Linked DNA regions of Mytilus edulis. The protein of the gene in region 2 purifies or fractionates together with the protein of the main gene of each other region. This does not show direct contact. Links are inferred from orthologs where the notes say so. Each region holds a gene or a part of one and is shown on either strand. Other genes may lie near its edges.

Region 1 (11,042 bases), on a different chromosome or scaffold from region 2:
GTGTACAGTAAACCAAAAACAGTCCAAAACACAAACCAGATGCTCCGCAGGGCGTAGCTTTATACGACCGCAGAGGTTGAACCCTGAACGGTTGGGGCAAGTATGGACACAACATTCAAGCTGGATTCAGCTCTAAATTTGGATTGTGATTAAATAGTTGACACAGCATAGGTTTCTGACACAGAATGAATGTGTTCTAATGAACTTAAAATTTTTGTTTTCTCTTAGAGCAATTCACTATGCTGTTGAATATTAATCCTCTCAAAACAAGAATGTGTCCTCAGTACACGAATGCCCCACTCGCACTATCATTTTCCATGTTCAGTGGACCGTGAAATTGGGGTAAAAACTCTAATTTGGCATTAAAATTAGAAAGATCATATCATAGGGGACATGTGTACTAAGTTTGAAGTCGATTGGACTTAAACTTCATCAAAAACTACCTTGACCAAAAACTTTAACCTGAAGCGGGACAGACGGACGGACGAACGGACGGACGAACGGACAGACGGACGGACGGACGCACAGACCAGAAAACATAAAAATGTTTGAAGAAATTTTCTTTTTTATTTATGAAATTTCAAATGAGAAAAATTGAACCCAATTTTTTTAATCACATCCCCCTTTCCCTTATTCCAAAACTAATCTCAATTAATATTTCTAATGGAGTTTGCAACAATAACTACTCATTTAAATACATCATAAAATATTAAGATGTAAAAAAAACTGCTTGTTATCACTGAATGTTATTTATTATAATTTATCAGTTGGTAGTAAAAAGTGAATATACATTGTATATTGTATATAACAAAGATTTAAGTTGATTCTGGACAAAGAAAGATAACTCCAATTAAAAAAAAATCTTGCTATTGCACAATATTTTGCAATTAGATATTTCTTGCTTACTATTCTGGACAAAGAAAGATAACTCTAATTAAAAAAAAATTTGCTATTTCACAATATTGTGCAATTAGATATTTCTTGCCATTGCGCAATACTGTGCAATTGAAAAGACTTGCTATTGCACAACACTTAATATAATAATTTTAGATCCTGATTTGGACCAACTTGAAAACTGGGCCCATAATAAAAAATCTAAGTACATTTTTGGATTCAGCATATCAAAGAACCCCAAGATTTCAATTTTTGTTGAAATCAGACTAAGTTTAATTTTGGACCCTTTGGACTTTAGTGTAGACCAATTTGAAAACAGGACCAAAAATGAAGAATCTACATACACAGTTAGATTTGGTATATTAAAGAACCCCATTTATTCAATTTTTGATGAAATCAAACAAAGTTTAATTTTGGACCCCGATTTGGACCAACTTGAAAACTGGGCCAATAATCAAGAATCTAAGTACATTTTTAGATTCAGCATATCAAAGAACCTAACTGATTCATTTTTTGTCAAAATCAAACTAAGTTTAATTTTGGACCCTTTGGACCTTAATGTAGACCAATTTGAAAACGGGACCAAAAGTTAAGAATCTACATACACAGTCATGACAGTTAGATTCGGCATATCAAAGAACCCCAATTATTCAATTTTGATGAAATCAAACAAAGTTTAATTTTGGACCCTTTGGGCCCCTTATTCTGTTGGGACCAAAACTCCCAAAATCAATACCAACCTTCCTTTTATGGTCATAAACCTTGTGTTTAAATTTCATAGATTTCTATTTACTTATACTAACGTTATGGTGCGAAAACCAAGAAAAATGCTTATTTGGGTCCCTTTTTGGCCCCTAATTCCTAAACTGTTGGGACCTAAACTCCCAAAATCAATACCAACCTTCCTTTTGTAGTCATTAACATTGTGTTTAAATTTCATTGATTTCTATTTACTTAAACTAAAGTTATTGTGCGAAAACCAAGAATAATGCTTATTTGGGCCCTTTTTTGGCCCCTAATTCCTAAACTGTTGAAACCTAAACTCCCAAAATCAATCCCAACCGTTCTTTTGTGGTCATAAACCTTGTGTCAAAATTTCATAGATTTCTATAAACTTAAACTAAAGTTATAGTGCGAAAACCAAGAAAATGCTTATTTGGGCCCTTTTTGGCCCCCAATTCCTAAAATGTTGGGACCAAAACTCCCAAAATCAATACCAACCTTCCTTTTGTGGTCATAAACCTTGTGTCAAAATTTCATAGATTTCCATTCACTTTTACTAAAGTTAGAGTGCGAAAACTGAAAGTATTCGGACGCCGGACGACGACGCCGACGCCGACGCCAACGTGATAGCAATATACGACGAAAAATTTTTCAAATTTTGCGGTCGTATAAAAATTAACTATAACCACTGAACCATGAAAATGAGTTCAAGGTCAGATGAAACCTGCCAGTTGGACAGTACAATGTACATGTACACCTTACAATTCTTCCCTACACCAAATATAAAAGACCTATTGCTTTTAGTATCTGAGATATGGACTTGACCCCAAAATCTTAACATTGTTCACTGATCCATGAAATAAGTCAAGATTAAAATTACATAGCTAGTTTATCAATGATCAATTTTTTTGCTTTGAGTTGACATAACTTGATGATAAGTATTATTTGTTTAGGAAATACAAAATTTGATAATAATGGGACAAAGTCAACTATTACATTAGAAAAATTAAAAAAAAAAATCCTGAAAAAAACTCTTGCTTCTTATGAACTCAAAAGCATTAACTTTTTTTTCAGACTTTTTTTATTTTCATCTCATTTGTCATGAGACTTTGAGTAAATTATATGTTTATCAGTCTAGTAAAATATAGGAATGATCAAAATACCAATTTCATTTTCAATAATTCTTTGATATGAGAAATTTTTTCCTGATGCTTGTGTTTCTTTTTTTTTACATTGAATATATGACGTCATCACTTAAATAACGTCACAACTAAAATGTAAAACAACAGAACCAAATCGGAAACGTTATGGTATTTCCATTTCTTTTTAATAGATTTTAAAATAAAATATGTTTGAATTAAAAAAAATAATTCATACAGACTTCGTCCCCTTTCAAAGGTTATGCCTGCCTCATGTTAAATAATGTTTGCTATAAGCATAATAAGGGTCCTTTTTGCTAGTGGGCGTCATATATAATATCTATATACTTTATATAGAATTTGTTTCATGCAGTGTTTTCCCTAGGCTATTCATGCATTGCGATCTGATTTTAAAACCACGTTGATTAGATGGAACAACATTTAAGACTTCGATTACATAATAGAAATCGGGAGTTCAAATTGTTTTAATGACCTCACAGCTTCCAAATAGCCTTCCGTTGAACATAAAAAGTAAACCTTTTGCAGTATAAATTTCTACGTTTTGAAATTAGTACGACATGACATGGCCGATACATCATATGGACAACAATTCTTGCATCTTGCCTATATTTGCCATCGCAATCAGCATGAATGATCAGAGAGAAATTATATTAGTAACAAATGAAATAATCATAAATAGAGAAAAATGCACAGGCACTTGTTTCTATTCATTGGAAGACCCACTATCAACGTTTATCGTAAATATACATTGATAGTGGGTCTTCCAATGTGCCTGTGGAAAAATGGCCCAAAAAGCAATACACCTTATCGCGTTTTGTCTGCCATTACTGGATATAACACAGGTTCCTGTAAAATTTTGAGGTCATAAAACAAAATATCTGATGCTACAATGGAAAAGTGATTGTGTACGACGTCAAAAATTCAAGCGGCCAGGTCAGCCATGGTTAGCAATAAGCATTAAGCATAAAAGATTTATTTAAAGTCGGTTATACATTTGTACATACAATGTATAACAATACAACAAACGCTCTGTAGAGCTTTTATCAGACATAAGGTGTATAGAGATGTAGGACCCTAAATCCAAACCCTCATTTAATCTATATATTTTGACATTCCGTCCCAATCGGTATACATGAAGCATTGAATTTAAAAATCATAAACGGACCTTGCAAGACGAATAAACAGCTAGCTTTTCCAATTTTTTGTTCCTGGGGTATCCCCGAACCATAGCTTTCTTTTGTGCAATTCTTTGTAGATTGTTCGGTCTAGACATTTCGCCTGTCGTAGACTGTGTAGGACCTTTATTTGTTTGCTGTAAATCTGTTCCATTTTGAAGTGGATCGCTAGAATTTGCGTCACTCATTGTTTTATTTGTTTCATTTTTTTATGCAAACGCTTGTAACATTGAAAATAAGTAGTACTGTGCAGCTTCACATCACTATCCATGACAACAAACTAACAGAAACATAAAAGATCTAACCAAACACAACTAAATATTTTTTACAGTAACGCACCACAATTTTCTGAAATGAAGTAATTTTGGTGTTGATAATACCAGAGACATATTATACAAAAAAAAATCCATAAGTTGGCCATATTATCAGCAATCTATAACATTAGTATATGACTCTTATTATTTTCCAGATATGTTTCTTCTATTTGAATATTTTTTCTAGATTTGAAAAGTTCTTTGAATTTATTTTTTTCGCGGGACTCCCTGGCCAAAATTTATTTGCATGAGCCTTTTGCCTGACCGGGATTAATTTGACATGTGCTTCAGCAAAAATGACCTTGTAGTTTTGGTCATTGAAAACTCGGGAACCGTAACGATTGTGCGATCAAATTTTGATTTAATGTAGATAAATATCATAGGTTGAGCGTCCATAACCTTTTATTTTCTTTCAAAAACCGTTTCAGTTTTTCTTTTCTTGGCAAAAATACATGTAAATAGAGACTGTCATTCACGTAGATTTCGGCCGCCATTTGTTAATGGTTTCGAAAGAAGAAAGATAACTCAGGCTCGATAACGGACAATAACTCTTCAAGACAAGTTGTATAATACCCCCAACGTTGATGTGCGATAATGAACTAATTAAGATTATTTTTTAACTGCAATAATAATAGATGGGACTTCTTTACTTTATGACTTAACCCCAGTAATGCCTTAATTCTTCCACATGTGAATTAGATAAAGCTTTCCAATTCTGAAAAAAATAATTTTCCCTTCCCTTCTAAAACAACTATATTTTTTCCCTTCCCTTCTTTGACAATTTAAAAAAAATGAGAAAGAAAACAATTTGTTATATACAAATATTCATCTTGGTATCTTTCAGGTTTTTTTACTCTCTGTCAACATAATTTACTTCTGCGCTTCATACAAAATGTACTTCGGTCAATGCTTTTACACCCCATAATAAAGTTACAAAAAGAAGCATTCATTTTGTTATAACAAAGAAGGTTTTTGTTTATATTGGTTTTGGTTGTCAGATAGGGCACATGCTACATTTAAGCTTGTCCTCATTATTTACGTTTTTATTAGTGACATGAATCTGTCTAGTACTATTTTTTTTATTTATAGCCCCTTACAACATTAAAATGTTCTAAATTTAGTATCAATATTCCATTAGCACGTGTTCATAGTGTTGACAGGTACTCTAATTCATTTAAAAGCTGAGAATGGCAGCAGATACACAGCAAACCCACAGACCTGGCGTTTTTAAACAACAAAATAAAGGACACAAACATGGCAAACATAGAAGCAAAGGTTCATTAGAAAGAGAAACAAAAGGTAAGAAGAAAAATGACCGTAAATTTATAAGCCCACCCCAGATAGCAATACTTTGTTGGGCCAACATTGGTGATTGGTTGGCACAGTTGGTAAATAGTTGGCGTTGGCAGCACAACAAGAAACCGATGTTGGCCCAACAAAACTCAGCCAACAGTTATTTTGACACTATTGGCCCCTTGTTGGCCCAACAAAACTCAGCCAACAGTTATTTTGACACTATTGGCCCCTTGTTGGCCCAACGACTTTCCACCAACTGTCATTTTGGTGTTATTGACCCAATGTTGGCCCAACATTTTCTTACCAACTGTTATTTTTAAAGTAGCTTGCCCAACGATATTTGACTTACGTTATCCATTGATTCAGTGTAAGATCTTCTGACTGAAACTACTGAACCAATTTTATTCGAACTTTATTTGAATGATTCTATGTTATCATAGAGACTATAGATTGTGTTTGAAGGGCATTGAGGACTTAGTAAAAAATTAAAATAATAAAGTCTTCCCAAATAGGACTATTTTAAACCGTCTGTGCCAAGAGCTAGAAATTTTTTAGTATTTTGAATAATTCAAAAGTTTTTAAAACAGTATATTTATAAAAAAAACCAACATATCATTGATATTTCATGACAATATTGAGATATGAGCCAACATGGTGCCAACAATATGCCAACGTATTAAGTTCTTATCTCCCCGTATTATACCACAGATTTTTTTATTTTTTTTTAGATATTATTTCAAAGTGCAAACCAAAAAATGTGCTCTTCATTCTCTTTATCTAATATTTTCAAATCTGTGTAGTCATTTAAATGTATTTATCTTAATGATTGAATAATTTTATGCACAAACAAAAAATACTTAAAACCAGCCCAAAAAAACAAATAAAATTTGAGTATAGTTTCTGCAAGTTGTTAAACTTGTCAACTGAACTCAGCTGCTCATTTGACACGAGTGTAACATCACACTCTCCACATGACAGCCGAGATTGACCTGCAAATATATTATACATTATATACAAGAGATAAATATTTCATAATACATAACATGAAATGCATAAATAACATGTTTGACAGACTGAAGCCATCGTTGGCATACTGCTGTTCGACCAACATTGGTCCAACATAATTTTAGAACCAGACGACGTTGGTAGACTGTTGGCAAATAGTTGACATTGTTGGCAGATTGTTGGCAAATAGTTAACCTTGTTGGCATACTGATGTTGGGCCAACAAAGACCCAACATGTTGGGCCAACTGAGGGCCGATGAGCAAAATGACGTTGGCCCAACACAGTTTTCCAACATTGGCCCAACAATGTTGCCAACAGAATGCCAATATTGGCCCAACACATGTTTGCTATCTGGGACCTTTGTGGATGGATAGAGCTACTAAGTCTGCAATTGTCAAGAAACGTAAATCATGGAAAAAATATAAATATTCAAGAAATAATTTGTCATATATCAAATATGTGAAGGATCGCAATGAATGTACAAATACTGTTAAAAATGCCAAACTTAGTTTTGAACAAAAAGTGGCCTTAGAATCAAAGACTAATGTAAAGTCGTTTTGGAATTATGTTAACAGTAAACTCAAGACTAGATCAGGAATAGGTACGCTTGAGAAACCGGATGGTACTTTAGCATCCAGTACTGCTGACAAAGTTGAAGTTTTAAATAAGTTTTTTACTAGTGTTTTTACTCAAACGGAGGACTTGAAAGATTATGATACTAATTCAGTGTCGAACAATTATTTAAATGATATTAATATTTGTCAGGAAGATGTGATAAAGAAACTTAATAAATTAAAGACAGATAAATCTGCAGGACCTGATGGTCTCCATCCGAAAGTTTTATATGAAGTTAGACATGCAATTTGTTATCCATTGTTTCTAATTTTTAATAAGTCTATCAAAGAGGGGAAAGTTCCAGACGATTGGAAAAATGCCATAGTATCACCGATATTTAAGAAAGGGAAAAAACTAAAACCTGGTAATTATAGACCTGTAAGCTTAACGTCAGTGGTATGTAAGATATGTGAATCCATTATTAGAGACAATATTATGAAGTTTATTCTTACAAACAATCTTTTTACTAGTAGTCAATATGGCTTCCGTCCTGGTAGATCATGTGTTACTCAACTCCTAGAGGTTCTGGATGAGTGGTCAGAATTAATTGATAGTGGTTTTCCACTGGACTCGATTTTCCTTGACTTTTCAAAGGCGTTTGATACTGTACCGCATCAGCGTTTATTTTTGAAACTTGAAAAACTTGGAATAAAGGGATGCATTTTAAATTGGATAAAAAGTTTTCTATCTGGGCGTAAGCAATGTGTTCGTATAAATAACACAACATCAACATGGTCAGACGTTGTGAGTGGTGTACCTCAGGGAAGTGTTTTAGGACCAGTTCTTTTCTTAACATTTATAAATGATCTTCCTGATGTAGTAGAGGGCATAGTGAAAATTTTTGCTGATGATTGTAAAGTTTATTCTAAAGTCTCGTCAGATTATGAGCAAAGTAAGTTACAGGAAAATTTGGACAGATTATGTGAATGGTCAGATATGTGGAAATTAAAATTTAATGCTGCTAAATGTAAAGTATTGCATATTAATCCTGACAATGACCTGAAATATCGTTATACCATGTTGGATGAATCTGGAAATTTTATTGCATTATCTACAGTGAATGAAGAAAAGGATCTTGGAGTAACTTTCGAGTCTAATTTGAAATTTGAAAAACATATAAGTGATATTTACAACAAAGCGCAGAGAGTGTTGTCTCTTATTCATCATTCTTTTGATTACATGGATCAAGATATGTTTCTTACTATTTATAAATCAATAGTGCGTCCGCTGCTTGAATATGCGACATGCGTCTGGTCACCGTATCTTAAAAAAGACATCCGTAAACTGGAATCTGTACAAAGGAGGGCCACAAAACTGGTGAAAAATATTTGTCATCTTAATTATGAAGACAGGCTACGTTCATTGGGTTTGCCAACTTTGGAATATCGTAGGGATAGGAATGACATGATACAAGTCTACAAATCGTTGCATGGTATAGATGACATCGACTGGATGAAGCTATTTACTTTAGCACCATCTAATAATACAAGAGGTCACTCATTAAAACTGTTTAAAAAACAGTGTAAGACCACACATAGACTAAATACTTTTTCAATTAGAGTAGTGGATCAGTGGAATAACCTGTCTGATTTAACAGTGACGGCAAAGACTCTAAATAATTTTAAGTCTGCACTAAATGGCGAAAACTGGAACCCTTATAAATTCATATGTTCGTGTTAATTAAGTGTTCAGCTGCGCACACCCAAATAAGTGTTTTTTATTATAAGTTTAATATATATTATATATATATATATATTAATTATGAGAAGAGAAATGCATATACGACAATCCAAGATGAGGGGTCAGTAGAAGCCTTTGGCTTATTTAACGACCCGAAGATAAAGGTATAAAGGTATAAAGGTATAAAGATCTCTTGACAGTCACAGTGACAGCCCACTATGCATCATATATTTGTTAAAAATTCTTATGTTAACCTTATTCAGACATAATTTTTTTTTATAGAAGTACAACAAATGTATCACTACAGATACAAAATGTCTGGTAATTATACTGACATGTATATTATATATATATGATATGGCATTAATAATTTTATAAAGAGTAATATATTTTAAAAAGGTTCTGTCTGTTTGAGAATGGAAATGATAAATATGTCAGAGACAACAACCTTATTAAAGGGCAGATACAATTTTGGTTGTATATTGGTATCTTTTATCTTTGTGGTCGTCAGCATCGTCCGAAGACAGATGGTTTCCAGATAATAACTTTAGTATAGGTAAATAGACATCAATAAAATTTTGACACAAGGTTTATAACCACTAAAAGAAGTTTGGGATTGATTTTGGGGGTTATGGTCCCAACTGTTTAGGAATTAGGGGCCCAAATAAGCATTTTTGTAGTTTCCAGACAACAACTTGTGTGTTAAAGTGTATGAATCTCTCTGAAATTATACCACAAGTTTTCATACTACAAAGGTGTGACTTTGGGGGGTTATGGCTCAAACCGTAGGGGGAAAACAAGGGTTTTTCTGGTTAATGGACAATTGAGACAATTTTAAAGCAGTGTAAGGGAGGTAATCCAAATGTAATTCAAACATAATATGTTGGATTACCTCCAAGACACTGCTTTAACATTATGTAGAAATATTGTATTTTCTTGAGGTGATTAGCTGTTAATTTGCTTTAAGAAGTTACTATTAAATTTATGCTGATTAACATGATTAAGGAATATTAATTTTCTATTTAAGACTTTTATGATGTATTTAAATGGGTAATTATTATGGTTGCATCTTCAATGAAAATTTGAATGGAAATTATGACCATATCTTGAGGGAAAGAATATTTTAATGGAAAAAGGGTGGAGGACTTGAAAAAAACATTTGGAGAGAGGTGACTACAGTAATTCTGTGTCAGAAAGCTAATATTTGTCAAATATTTAATTACAATTCAAACTCAAACCTGAATCAAGCATGAATATTGTGTCAGGGGTGTGGAAATGCTATGCCCGACTCGCCCGACTCGTACATTTGAACACCCTGACTAGTAATTATTTGTGTCTGGGTTGCCCGTGGACAAGTAAAAAATTATAAAAGACAAAGTTCAAATCCAACAAAAATATAGAATGAATTCAAAATGTATAAAGATGTTTAATTTGTGTAAAAGAAATCAATGGTCAGCGAGTAAAGACAATGTTCATGAAGATAAATATTACATAATACCGGAAATAGATCGATTAACAAAATATATAAAAATAAGTATGCAAACCCGAGTCGCGTAACATTGCATTGGTTTTGTCCTTTGACCCGGGATCGTCGATTAGGTTTTATCAATCATGAGCGGAAGTGTCATTTTATATGATTTTGTATTGAGATTCAGATTGATAAATACTTAAAACAGGGGACAAAAAGAGTTATGAGTAGAGTAAAAAAATGAAAAAGCAAACGCAAATGGAGGATAAGGAATTCTAAAAAAAATATGGAAGCGAGAGTTTCAGACATGGTGACTATCAGATTGCACCTGGGTATCTAGGATGGAAATTCAGAAAATAAAATAATTTTTTTGTCTTTGTATTTATAGATCAAAGGTCAACAATATTTGTTGTCAGATTGGTAAATAGAAGGGATGCTTTAATTGCCCATTAAGACAATTATAAAAAAAAAAACCCAAGTGTGTCAGTTGAGAGAAACACCAAAAAAAACCAATAGTTTATCCATTATTTGATTTTCATTTCTTCACTCACTGTCCTCTAAATTAGTATATCATTATATGTACCTACTGGCTACAATTATTCAAAAACTGCTGCAAAAAATGACCTTTACATGTCATTTCATTGGTTGGTTTGCTGTAAGGTTTCTATCCCATATGTTTATTATATATATAACCTACTTTCCTTAATACAT
Region 2 (11,083 bases):
GATCACCACCAGTTTTTGGTAGAATTTGTGTCGCTTTATCTTTCTATGTTGTGTCTTGTATGCATTAAATTGTATGTCTTTTTCATTTTTAGCCATGGCGTCGTCAGTTTATATTCAATCTATGAGTTTGACTGTCCCTTTGGTATCTTTCGTCCCTATATATCTCACGAGCCCAACTTCTCTGGCTTATGAAGAGGTAATGTCCAATATTTTTTAATAGTATTTACTGTGCAGCAGTGCTCTATACAGTTTAAAGTCCAAATTAAGGGGGTAGACTTTGATTCAGGGAGATAACTCTTTAAATCAGTTAAGCGTTTGTAAAAGTCAAGTTCATCAATGTATTTTAAGCATTTACCTGAAACAGATTGAAAATAATCTATGTAACCTAGAAGCTTAGAATATATTTTTGAAAATGGTTGACAAAAACGTACTGATGATTTTAAGAGTTATTTCCCTTGACCTAGGTCTACCTCCTTAACATACACAAAAAAACACATACACATTTTTAACATTTAATTCCTTTTGGTTGTTTAAATTGAAGAATTAATTTCAAATGTATCAGTACATTCTATTTATAGTAAATGCATCTATGTCAGTTGCAAGGCAACAGTGTTCATAATACACTGTGTGTGAATAACCCAACATTGATCTGAAATTTACTTTCAATAATGAATTTCCCTAGAAGACAATAAGGGCTTTTAAAAAAAAATTTTTTAGGAGGATAGGAAATTTCTTTCCAAATATCCTACATCCAAGAACATTTTTAGATAATTTTGCATAATGCTAAAAGACGCATGCTGACAAAAGATCCATGCCCCACATTCAATAATTAAACTTCCCTTCCTACCCTGTCACATACATTTTAATGGAATAGCCCTTATAAAAGATTTGAAACTTTCACCTGATTTCTATAGAAATTGAATCCAATTTAATCAGTGGAAGGCCATGACAGAAATACCATGACACCTACCTTGAATACTTGGTCGACTGTGAGACAACAATAGATTAGCGGAGTAACCTTTACAATGTCTGTGTAACACATCAAGTGCTGCAATCAGGAATTCATGAGCATCCTGCTGCTCATATCCTGCCAAGTGACGAGCATTGGTCCACACCAGGTGTAAAAGTCGAAATGGAATATGTGGAGCCCTGGCTCCAGAGTAAAACTAAGAATGTAAAAAAAACATAATTTTTTTATATTGAATTATTCAAATTGAAATTATGAAAAAAAAAGTTACATCACATCTTCAAATGTCTCACAAATTACATTTGTTTGGAATTGTTCCTTCATAAATATCTTCAATTACAAGCATTTTTTGAGACATGGTTTCTACTTGAATTGTGTTAAAAGACTACTTTGTTAAAATCAGAATTTGACTTATGTATAAAGAGTTAAAAAAAAAATAAGCATTTTAAGGTAACATCACTTACTTCTTGAAAAAGTCTGGACATTTCACAAACAAGGCACTGCCGAGCTTCGTCGTCTTTCATTTCACAAACATGCTTATCAGCTAAAAAATAGTCTCTCAAAACGGGTGTGTGAATCAATGCCTGTACAATGCAGTTCATAAAACAAGTGTTTCCTAAATTAATCAATCCTCGCAGACCTGAAACAGATAACAAACAGATTAATTTGGCGTAACAGCATTTATTTAGAAAAGTGATAAAAAAAATTGTAAATGCAATTCCTATTTTGTAAATAAATAGTGTTTTGCATGGTAACCCTTTTTATTTGTCTTTCTAATAAAGTCTCATCTTTGTATTTTTTCAAGTTCAAATATTTGTTTAATTCCATACTTTTAATTATACTATTGCCTTATATTTGATTGACTGATTATTATTGTTTACTTAATATTCAGACCCATTCTAAATTTGTACTAGTACAAGTGGTCGTATTTTCTGGACTTTGCAGATAAGTTATATTAATGACTTGTTGCGTCAAACCTAAAACAGACATTTAACTTGGGTTGCCATTCTAACATAATTCAGTTGAAAAAAATATGTTTTGCTATCTTTTTGACCTGACCTTTTGCCTAAAATATTTTTTGGATGCCCTGGATGGATGGGTACCATATATTCATTATGCTGTTGATTTGAATTTGTTAATTTTGCAGTAATGTACCTATTGTTGATGTAGTTTCTACTTTCCTTCTTTTAGGATTCTGTAATAGAATTTCCTTCTCAATATCAGTAGGTTCCCATCGTATAAACTGTTGTTTTAATCCTGAAATAAATAAAAGTGATAAAATTGGTGAATCAGCTGTACCCTTGCAAAAATATGCAAGTGTTGCAGTTTACACATACAAACTTCATAAATCTGATCACTCAAAGGAACTCTTAACCCAACAAAAATGTTTTTGTTTAGAATATCAGGATTCAGACTTCTATTACATTTGTACTTAATTTCAAAATATTTTAAAATGTATTACTATTACTGAAAGTTTAAACTGTTTTTTTTGTTATTTTTTTAAGTGTTGTCAATCAAACCATGTGTAAACTGACCCACTAGTTTGAAAAAAAGATTATTGTATAAAAAAACAGATAATGTAAAGATTTTGCAAGCAATAAAATCAAATGTTGGAGATCGTTCATGAAGAAAACTATGAACCAGATGAATATAGAAAACTACATTGATGATGTATATCTGACTTTGTGTACCTTGAGCCTTTGCAGATTTTTGATGTTGTGAGGTAGAAATTGTTTCTAATTCTGGGTCGTACATGTAATCATTACAGGCAAAACAGAATACTGTTCCATAACTTAAATCCATAGCTGAAAAAAAAAGTTGTTATTTTATAATCACAGATATATTATACTCTTTATATAAATCTCTCCTTAAATTGATTAACAAAAGAATCACAATCACATTATTCTTTCACGATTCAGATTAAAATACTTGGGTTTATGTGTTGACAGTTACATGTTAGTGTTAATATGTCAACCTGTTATGTATGTGTTTCTAGTGGTCCATTTTCGTTTAAACTACACCTCTTTTTTTATTTACAGGTAAATTGTTCAATTGCTTTTAAAGAGACTTTTAAACTTGCCTAAAACATGTAAAATAATACTTGTAAGAACTAATCTTTTACCATTTATGCATAATGTATTTACCCAGATGGTGGCCCTTCCTTTCAGCATGTCCATGAATATGCCTGTCATTATAGCATCCAAAATAAACACAGTGTAAGCAGGCATGAAGCCTAAGTGCATATTTCTGACATGTATGACATCTATTGGAAGCAGCCTAAAGTTATAAAAAAAAATAATCACACTTTGGGTTACCCCTGAAACAAATCTAAGCATTACATAATGCTGATATTCTAATATTTAAAATATAGTCATGATAGTGTGAAAATAAAAATAATGTGTAAAACATGAGGGTCAGGTTCTCAATTATATCAGCGTTTTTATGAGGAAATATTTATATGAATAATGAATGAAGTACTAAACTTTTACTGTATTCCATTTTTGTAATTGCTATTTGGCATGGCTTAGTATTTATTAATCCCGGCCATTGTGTTTTTGTTTTATTATATGGTCATTTTTTTGTATTCTGTGCTTTGTCTTATGACATTTTTTTGTTTTTGTTGACGTATATTGTTTGTTTGATTGTGATAAAAGTAATACAATACAATTTTTACTGTTGTACACCTATTCTTGACTTCTATACCTATCATTATTAATAATGTCTGTGTTTTGTTTACACATTGTTGTCAAGATACATACATAATGGATTTTTTTTTTGACTGTCAAACAAGTGAGGGGTTTATATTAGCTAGCTAAAAAAACACACTTAATACACCATTTTCAACACAAGGAAATGCCTGTACCAAGTCAGGAATTAGACAGTTGATTTGGTTTGACTTGTTAGAGCTTTTGATTTTGCGATTTGATGATGGGGGTTTCTGAATTTTCCTAGTAGAAGTTCAATATTTTTATTATTTTACTTTTTATAAAAATACAATTAACAATAGCAGGCTGATTATTTGGAGCTTTGTTGTAGTAACTGTGAGCATTTTCTTTTATTCTATAATTTTGTTTTCTGTTTTGTTTGTGTCTGTGTTATTGTTAACATTTCTATTAATATATACACTGATCTCAAGATGTTTTTTTTTATCAATGAGTTGTAACACTGTATGACCTAGAGTAAATCTGTGTAATTCACCGTATTGTGAAAGTGATTCTTACAGTGATGCCAACAAGAAAGCATCAAGATAGGAAATGTTCATGGAAAGTTACAGTGTCTGAAATCGAAAGTGGTCTATTTTACTTTTGGAGCATTGCGTTCTATTCATTTACTAATTTTTGTCATATAATGTTATTTAACCGTATTAATGCCCTTTAACTTCAGTCGTCAAACAGTCATTTTCGGTTACCGTAGCAACAAATTGATTTACATTTTACCATGATTCATCAAAATATCCTGATCGTGATACTTCAAATTTTTCTGATTCGTCCAGGTTTGTAATAATAATTATCTTTACCGCTATTTTTGGAAAACAATTATCTTGATTCGTCAAAATCAGTTGATTTTTGTCGACCAAAAGAAAGTGTACAATATATCATCATGTACCAAAATTTACGGTTAACATCATTTAGCAGAAATTTTTGTCATTATTCTTCATGAAGGTACCCCCATTATAACCCTCATATTTTAACATTTTGCAGAAACTTATCAATATGTTTTGGAGAAATCAAAAATATTGTTTAACACCAACTAGCTTAGAAAAAAATTAAATAAACAACAGAAATGAAAGACCCCATCCATCCATTTAACATTTTCAGAAGAATAGCCTTTATTGTATAAAACCATATTATTCCTTTTTATGAAAGATGATTCGATTCAGTTGTTGTAGGTATGGGGAGATTTTTTTGCAGGATATAATTTATAAATGATCTCATTTCAGTCGATGGGGGATATAATTTTTTAGTCACCTTTCGTCGCCTGGCTTCAGCCGACGGGCAAGCTACGAAATATGCATGGATTAATCGATATGCATTTGTTCCATGAATTGATTTATAGTCATTTAAATGTTCACAAATCGACATAGTCGACCAACACCTATTTCATTTTCATTTGTTTCCTTGCACAAAACAACAAAGATTGGTGCGCAGTCTTCCTTGTTTTAGTAATCATTTGCGCATACCGTTTGAAATTTCCGCTTCCGTTTCATCCCATGTGCAAGGTACAAAATGTAAACAATACATTCTTTCTGTGAAAAAGCAGTGTTGATCCACATAAACCATGCTTTTTTAATAGTTTTTGTCTTTAATTTATCCGTTGATTTGAATAACATAATGTTGCAATCTTGCTTCAATTTTGGAAAGGACAAAATCGTACTGATAAATTATTATTTGACAGCAACTTGACAACACAAAAATAACATACTCAGTATTTTGTAAACTATGAGCCTATGTAGCCATTACCTTTTAAGAAAATGTGCTTTGATCAATTTGGTAGTTGATAGTATATGAAAAAAGCACTTCAAAATTCATAAACCTCAGGAATCAGAAATTCTATCAGTATCAATAATAAGGTATCTAGCCATCTCAAAGATTGTCCAGCAACAATGAAGCCTGAGATGCCCATATTTCTTATGAAATTTTCCGATATCTGTGAATAAACCAAACATAGATTTTTAATGACTTTTAGCATTGTGACTTAAAAAGTGGGGAGTCCTAATGTGCGTTAATTTGAAAGTCTACTAGAAGCGTATGATATCCAATTTCTTTATACCTACATTGCACTGTTAAATATCCTCTTCATCCCTTGTTAGAAATCAGGTCACAGCAATTTCATTTTTTTCTTTATGACATATACAATTAAAATTGTCAACTTTTTTCTAATTACATGTATGGGTGGGGTATTGGACCTTTATCCGGACTCCGGGATTGGGTGTTTTTAAGCTCGGGATTTCCGGATTGACCCTTTCGGGATCCGGGATTTCTTTTTTTCGAATTTCGGGACCTCAGGATTTCGTATTCTTAAGCCCGGGATTTCGGAATTTCGTGTTTTTAAGCCCAGGATTTCGGGATCAGGACCCCTCCTAACCCCCCCCCCCCCTAATGTATTTCCCAGTACTCAATCACAGTACTAATTCACTAAGGATTATTTCCTGCAATAAAGGGAACATTAAAATAACTTTGTAATTTTTTTAAATTTTGACAGATTTGTGATACGTTGTATTTAAAAGGCAAGATGCTTAGAAAATGGTGATGGCGTAATAATGTAAAAGATCAAATAAGTTTTCATGCAACCAAATTTGAAGTGTAAGTAATTGTTTTTATTTTTTATATTTTTTATTATGAGCATCCATGTATTCATGATTAGAATCCATGATAAAAGTAAAACATTATCATGAAAATGATGATTTTGAAAATGACTTATAGGCTCAAAGTGTTGGGTGTATTTTATTGTTTCTATAACATATATATATATATATATTTGTTTTTTGTTAAACTGCTATTAGATACGTGCACATGCATGTCACTATAATAAGAAAAATGTTTTTTGATATAAACAAATGATGAATTAAAGGAACCATGAAGTACCTCTTTATGAGACAGAAACCCAACAGCATAGAAAAACTAAGAGTTATGTACAATTTATAAATAAGATGTTATATGAATGCCAAAGAGACAACTTTCCAACAGAGTTCAAATGATGAGGCCATAATCAATTATTTCTCACAGTATGACCTTCAACAATGAGAAAACCCATACTGTATAGTGAGCTTTCAATGGCTATGACAAGATAAAGAAGAGGCGAAAGATACCAGAGGGACATTTAAACTCAGAAGTAAAAAATGAACTGAGAACCACATGGCTAAAAAAGAAAAAGACCAACAGACTAACAAAAGGACACTAATTACATCCTAGAAATTCTGTGTTTTAATTCAACTTTGGTACAATTAATTGCTTTAAATCATGTAAATTGTGTTTCACAGTTGAACATCTATTTATCTAAATGTAGCAAGAGATAAAAAAAAACCATTATGATGAGAAGTACAAAATTCTTTTATGTTCGGATTCAGTGAGAAGAAAACACCTTTAGGTTCAGATGTGTCCCAAAATATGTCAACATCCATGCAATGTATAGTTTGCTATGACATGAAGAAAAGGAAAAATCTTGAATTTTCTAATAAATGCTTCCATTATGATGACTTATCCAAAATATTGTATTCTTTGCAAAAGGTTCATTGAATGTTCTGAAATTAAACTGTTATTGTAAAAACATCTTAATCTTGGGCATTTGATTATTTGATGACATCCTTAAGGTGTACATAACACTACAGGGAGATAACTCAGTAAAAATCAGCTGAACATTTTAATCACTATCCATTGGTAAGGATGTATAAGGCTTCTCAATGATAAAAATTAGTGTTTGTCAAACTGCTTTATATATCCAATGAAGTGTGTGGTACAAGTTTTTTGAAATTTTTTATATTTTTGTCAAATGGTCAATGTTTATATTTTGTTAAAATTTTATGAAAATTAAAAGAAGCGCATAAATTTTAGTCGAGGTGTTTTGTACCACCTGAATTTTAATACATTATAATTTGTGAATAAAATATTCAACATTTATATCTATACAATCAAAGTGTTATTTAACATTACTCTAATCTTGACACTTTTTTATCCTTTTCTATTTTTTAGCTTATTATAAAATAATGTCACTGAATACTATAGGGAGCTACATAGGATTTCCTTTGGGATTTCTGGTATTTTTGTACATGATGATGTCATACAAGAAAAAGAAGAACATCCAGGGAAAAGTTGTCCTAATTACAGGAGCAAACTCAGGTCTTGGGAAAGGTAATTATTTTACTGTAAAATATCAGATCATTTTAACACAGCTTCTTGGTCTTTAAAATGATAAACAAAAGTTCAAGAGTTATCTCCCATTCTTATGTTGCAAGTTCAACAAAATATTTTTGGTCTGAATTTTAAGGCTTTAAAAACTTTTATGTTAATATTTTTCCTGAAATAGGATAAGACCCTTAAAATAATATATATATATATATATATATATATTGCAACAACCATTGACAACACAAATAAAAGGGAAAATCTAAACTTTTCAAAAGATTATAGTAATGTTTTCAAGTCCTTGACTTTTACTATTCATATTTTTAAATGTAGAGAAGCTAGAATTCATATACAATAAGTTTTTGGGTAAAGAGCTAAAATTAAGTTAAGATAAAATTGCAACATTTTATTACTTTTTGATAAGGAAAAAATAGTAGATTTTGGGGTTAGAACTATAATTATGAATTTAAAAGAAATAAAGAAAATGTAAATACAAAATTAAACCCTGGTATCTATGATGAGTTTATTTCAATTTTTTTTTACTTTATATTGAAAATAAATGTTTTGGAATGGAAATGAATATTAACATAGACACATCAGAAATATTAAAGAAATTCTAGCTAAATACAATAATTTCAAACTAATAAAAGGATATTAGAGATTTATTTAATTCCATATCATTTTAAATAATTTATTAGTTGATATGAACTATATGAACTTTTCAATTGAACAATTAATTAAACTTAATACTTGTAATGGACTAAAATGTGAAAATTGCTTTAGGAATTATATAAAAATTGTTATCCAATCACATATGTAGTGCATTTTTCCACAACTCTAAAAAAAAAATCAAGAAAATCCATAACATAGGGTAGCAAGAATTCCAATGAGTTGTCAACAGAACTAACACCTGAACAATATATAAAGAAGGGTGCAATATTATAACCAAGAAAAATATGATGAACAACTGGACAAAATAAACTACATGTATTGTAATCTAAAACAAGAAATAAAGTTTCAAGAAATTCCATCAAATAATATGGGAGGATGTATTACAGCACACACAACTATAGAAATATTGAAAAATGCATCAAAGTCCAAAGAGTCTTTCAAAGTTTTATTTTAAGAGAAGATCATATTGGTTCAAACAGTAACAGCAAAAAATAATTTTCAACAATTTGACAAACATGCATTTGATGGGAGAGATGCGTCCTTTTGCGCCACAACTTTTTTCTCCAATGCTACGTTCGCGCCACATGTTTTAAAATTACATGGTATCATATGCGCCAAAAACAAAACATACAATTGTGCCAATTAGAAGAAAAATTACTTCCCTACTCCTATATTCGGACTTGGAACCTGCAGTTTACACTAAAAATGTTTCCTTTTCTGAAACATATCTTATTCTTACTGCTGCTGCATGGATACTTCCACATTAAATGTATGTAGTAGCTTTTAACTTGACTTTAATATCCAAAAACACAGACATTGAAGGTTGAAATGCATAAAACAGTTTATAATAATTCTTATAATAATAAATCCCATATGTATGGTAGGAACAAAGAACTGTGTCATCAACATATGTATCTAAAACATAATCAGCAAAAGCTTCTATTTTCTTCTCTTTATGTATATCTTTATTAAATATTCAGCAAAGCAATACGTTTTATTCTCTCTGTACATTGACTGTCTAATGCATTTGAATTCATTTCTTACATTTGGAAAACAAAAATTGGCGCAAATGATACCCCTGAAAAACAGTAATTGGCGCAAAAGGATTACTGACCATTTGATTAAGCTACCTGGAATTTACCTATCTGTTAATTAATGTGACTGTTTTGATAAGCATGCACTTTTGTTGTGATAACTACTACAAATTTAGTACCTATTCCTCGAATGCCAACATAATTTTTCAGGTAAATTGTCGGTAGATCAGAAGATGATGGCATTCAAGGAATAAACCAAATTAATATAGATTTAAAATTCAATTTAAAAAATAGAACTCACCATTCTGGTTTTCAAGATATATTGGGTTTAAAACTTAATACATTTTAATTGTATGCAGAGCAACTCTCTCTTGCCAAATTAGATAAAAATAAATCTATTAAATAATGTTTTTTTTATGGAAATTATTTAGATTGAGGAATTTTAGAAAAAAGAAAAAGGAAATACTTTATATTCTCAATTTTTTGGTAGTTTCAAATAACTAAGTGTTAATTTTGAGTTGCATGTATATGCAGTTATATATCAGGTTTAATTATCTCCCTTGATGAGAACACATTTTGTGCAAAAGATATCTTTCTTGTCAAAACCAACTAAATGGTGGGCAGGCTAAGAATGCAAGTCTAATTGATGTTTCGATTTTGAATGAAACTGGAAGAATAGAAAGGAAAAAAAATGAATTTGTGCTTTTTTTGAAAGTGGTATGAAATTCTCAGATTTGCTTTAACCAAATTAGTTTTGAAACATTCATTATACTGACTGATAAAAAAGTAATAAATCCAAATGGCTAGTTTGCCTTTCATTTTTTGTTTAAATCGCAGTGAATTTTATACTGATAGAAAAAAAAATGTGTATCTTAGGGAATACTTTAATTGATAAATACATTTTATGTTTTTAAGCATGTGCCAAAGCTTTTCATCAAGCAAAATGTCGAGTTTTATTATGTGGAAGGAACAAGGAAGCTTTACGAGCTCTCACAGAAGAATTGGCAAATGCTAAGGTAACAATTTTTCTTGAAGTGTTTTTGTCAAGCCTTCAACTTTAGTCGAAAAAGCAAGACTAAGCGATCCTACATTCCACCGTTGGCGGCGGCAGAGGCATCCACAAATATTCACTCTGTGGTTAAAATTTTTAAAATTTTAATAACTTTCTTAGACTATCCTGGGTTAGTACCAAACTTGGACAGAAGCTTGTTTATGATCATAAGATAGTATCCAGAAGTAAATTTTGTAAAAATAAAATTCCATTTTTTACGTATTTTACTTTTAAATGGACTTAGATTTTCTACCAGGAAACAACACATTCACTCTGTAGTTAAGCTTTTTAAATTTAACTTTCTTATACTATTTTGGATTTGTACCAAACTTGGACAGAAGCTTGTTTATAATCAAAAGCTAGTATCTAGAAGGAAATTTAGTTTTCTTCCAGTTAACATTACATTTAGTCTGCAGTTAAAAGTTTTTAAACAGTATGAGATTCATAAACTATCCTGGATTTTTACCAAACTTGGACAGAAGCTTCTTACAATTTAAAGATAATATCAACAGGAATA

The links.
Region 1: the proteins of ubiquitin carboxyl-terminal hydrolase 22-like (region 2) and histone acetyltransferase KAT2A-like purify together in Drosophila melanogaster (affinity purification with western blotting, with the first as the bait; 3 studies listed by BioGRID). This does not show direct contact. The link is inferred for Mytilus edulis from reciprocal best matches to the Drosophila melanogaster genes not and Gcn5.

Annotation. Positions count from the first base shown.
Region 1 is NC_092344.1:36,817,290-36,828,331, forward strand, and holds the start of histone acetyltransferase KAT2A-like, read right to left. Parts: upstream 4,199-11,042; 5' UTR 4,141-4,198; coding exon 3,943-4,140; intron 1-3,942. Other genes in the region: pre-rRNA-processing protein TSR1 homolog, read left to right, coding at 5,454-5,565.
Region 2 is NC_092352.1:75,862,041-75,873,123, reverse strand, and holds the start of ubiquitin carboxyl-terminal hydrolase 22-like, read right to left. Parts: upstream 5,140-11,083; 5' UTR 5,050-5,139; coding exon 4,936-5,049; intron 3,245-4,935; coding exon 3,112-3,244; intron 2,773-3,111; coding exon 2,659-2,772; intron 2,225-2,658; coding exon 2,123-2,224; intron 1,608-2,122; coding exon 1,432-1,607; intron 1,167-1,431; coding exon 971-1,166; intron 1-970. Other genes in the region: dehydrogenase/reductase SDR family member 7B-like, read left to right, coding at 6,252-6,270, 7,657-7,815, 10,431-10,531. UniProt on the Drosophila melanogaster protein: Histone deubiquitinating component of the transcription regulatory histone acetylation (HAT) complex SAGA. Catalyzes the deubiquitination of histone H2B, thereby acting as a coactivator in a large subset of genes.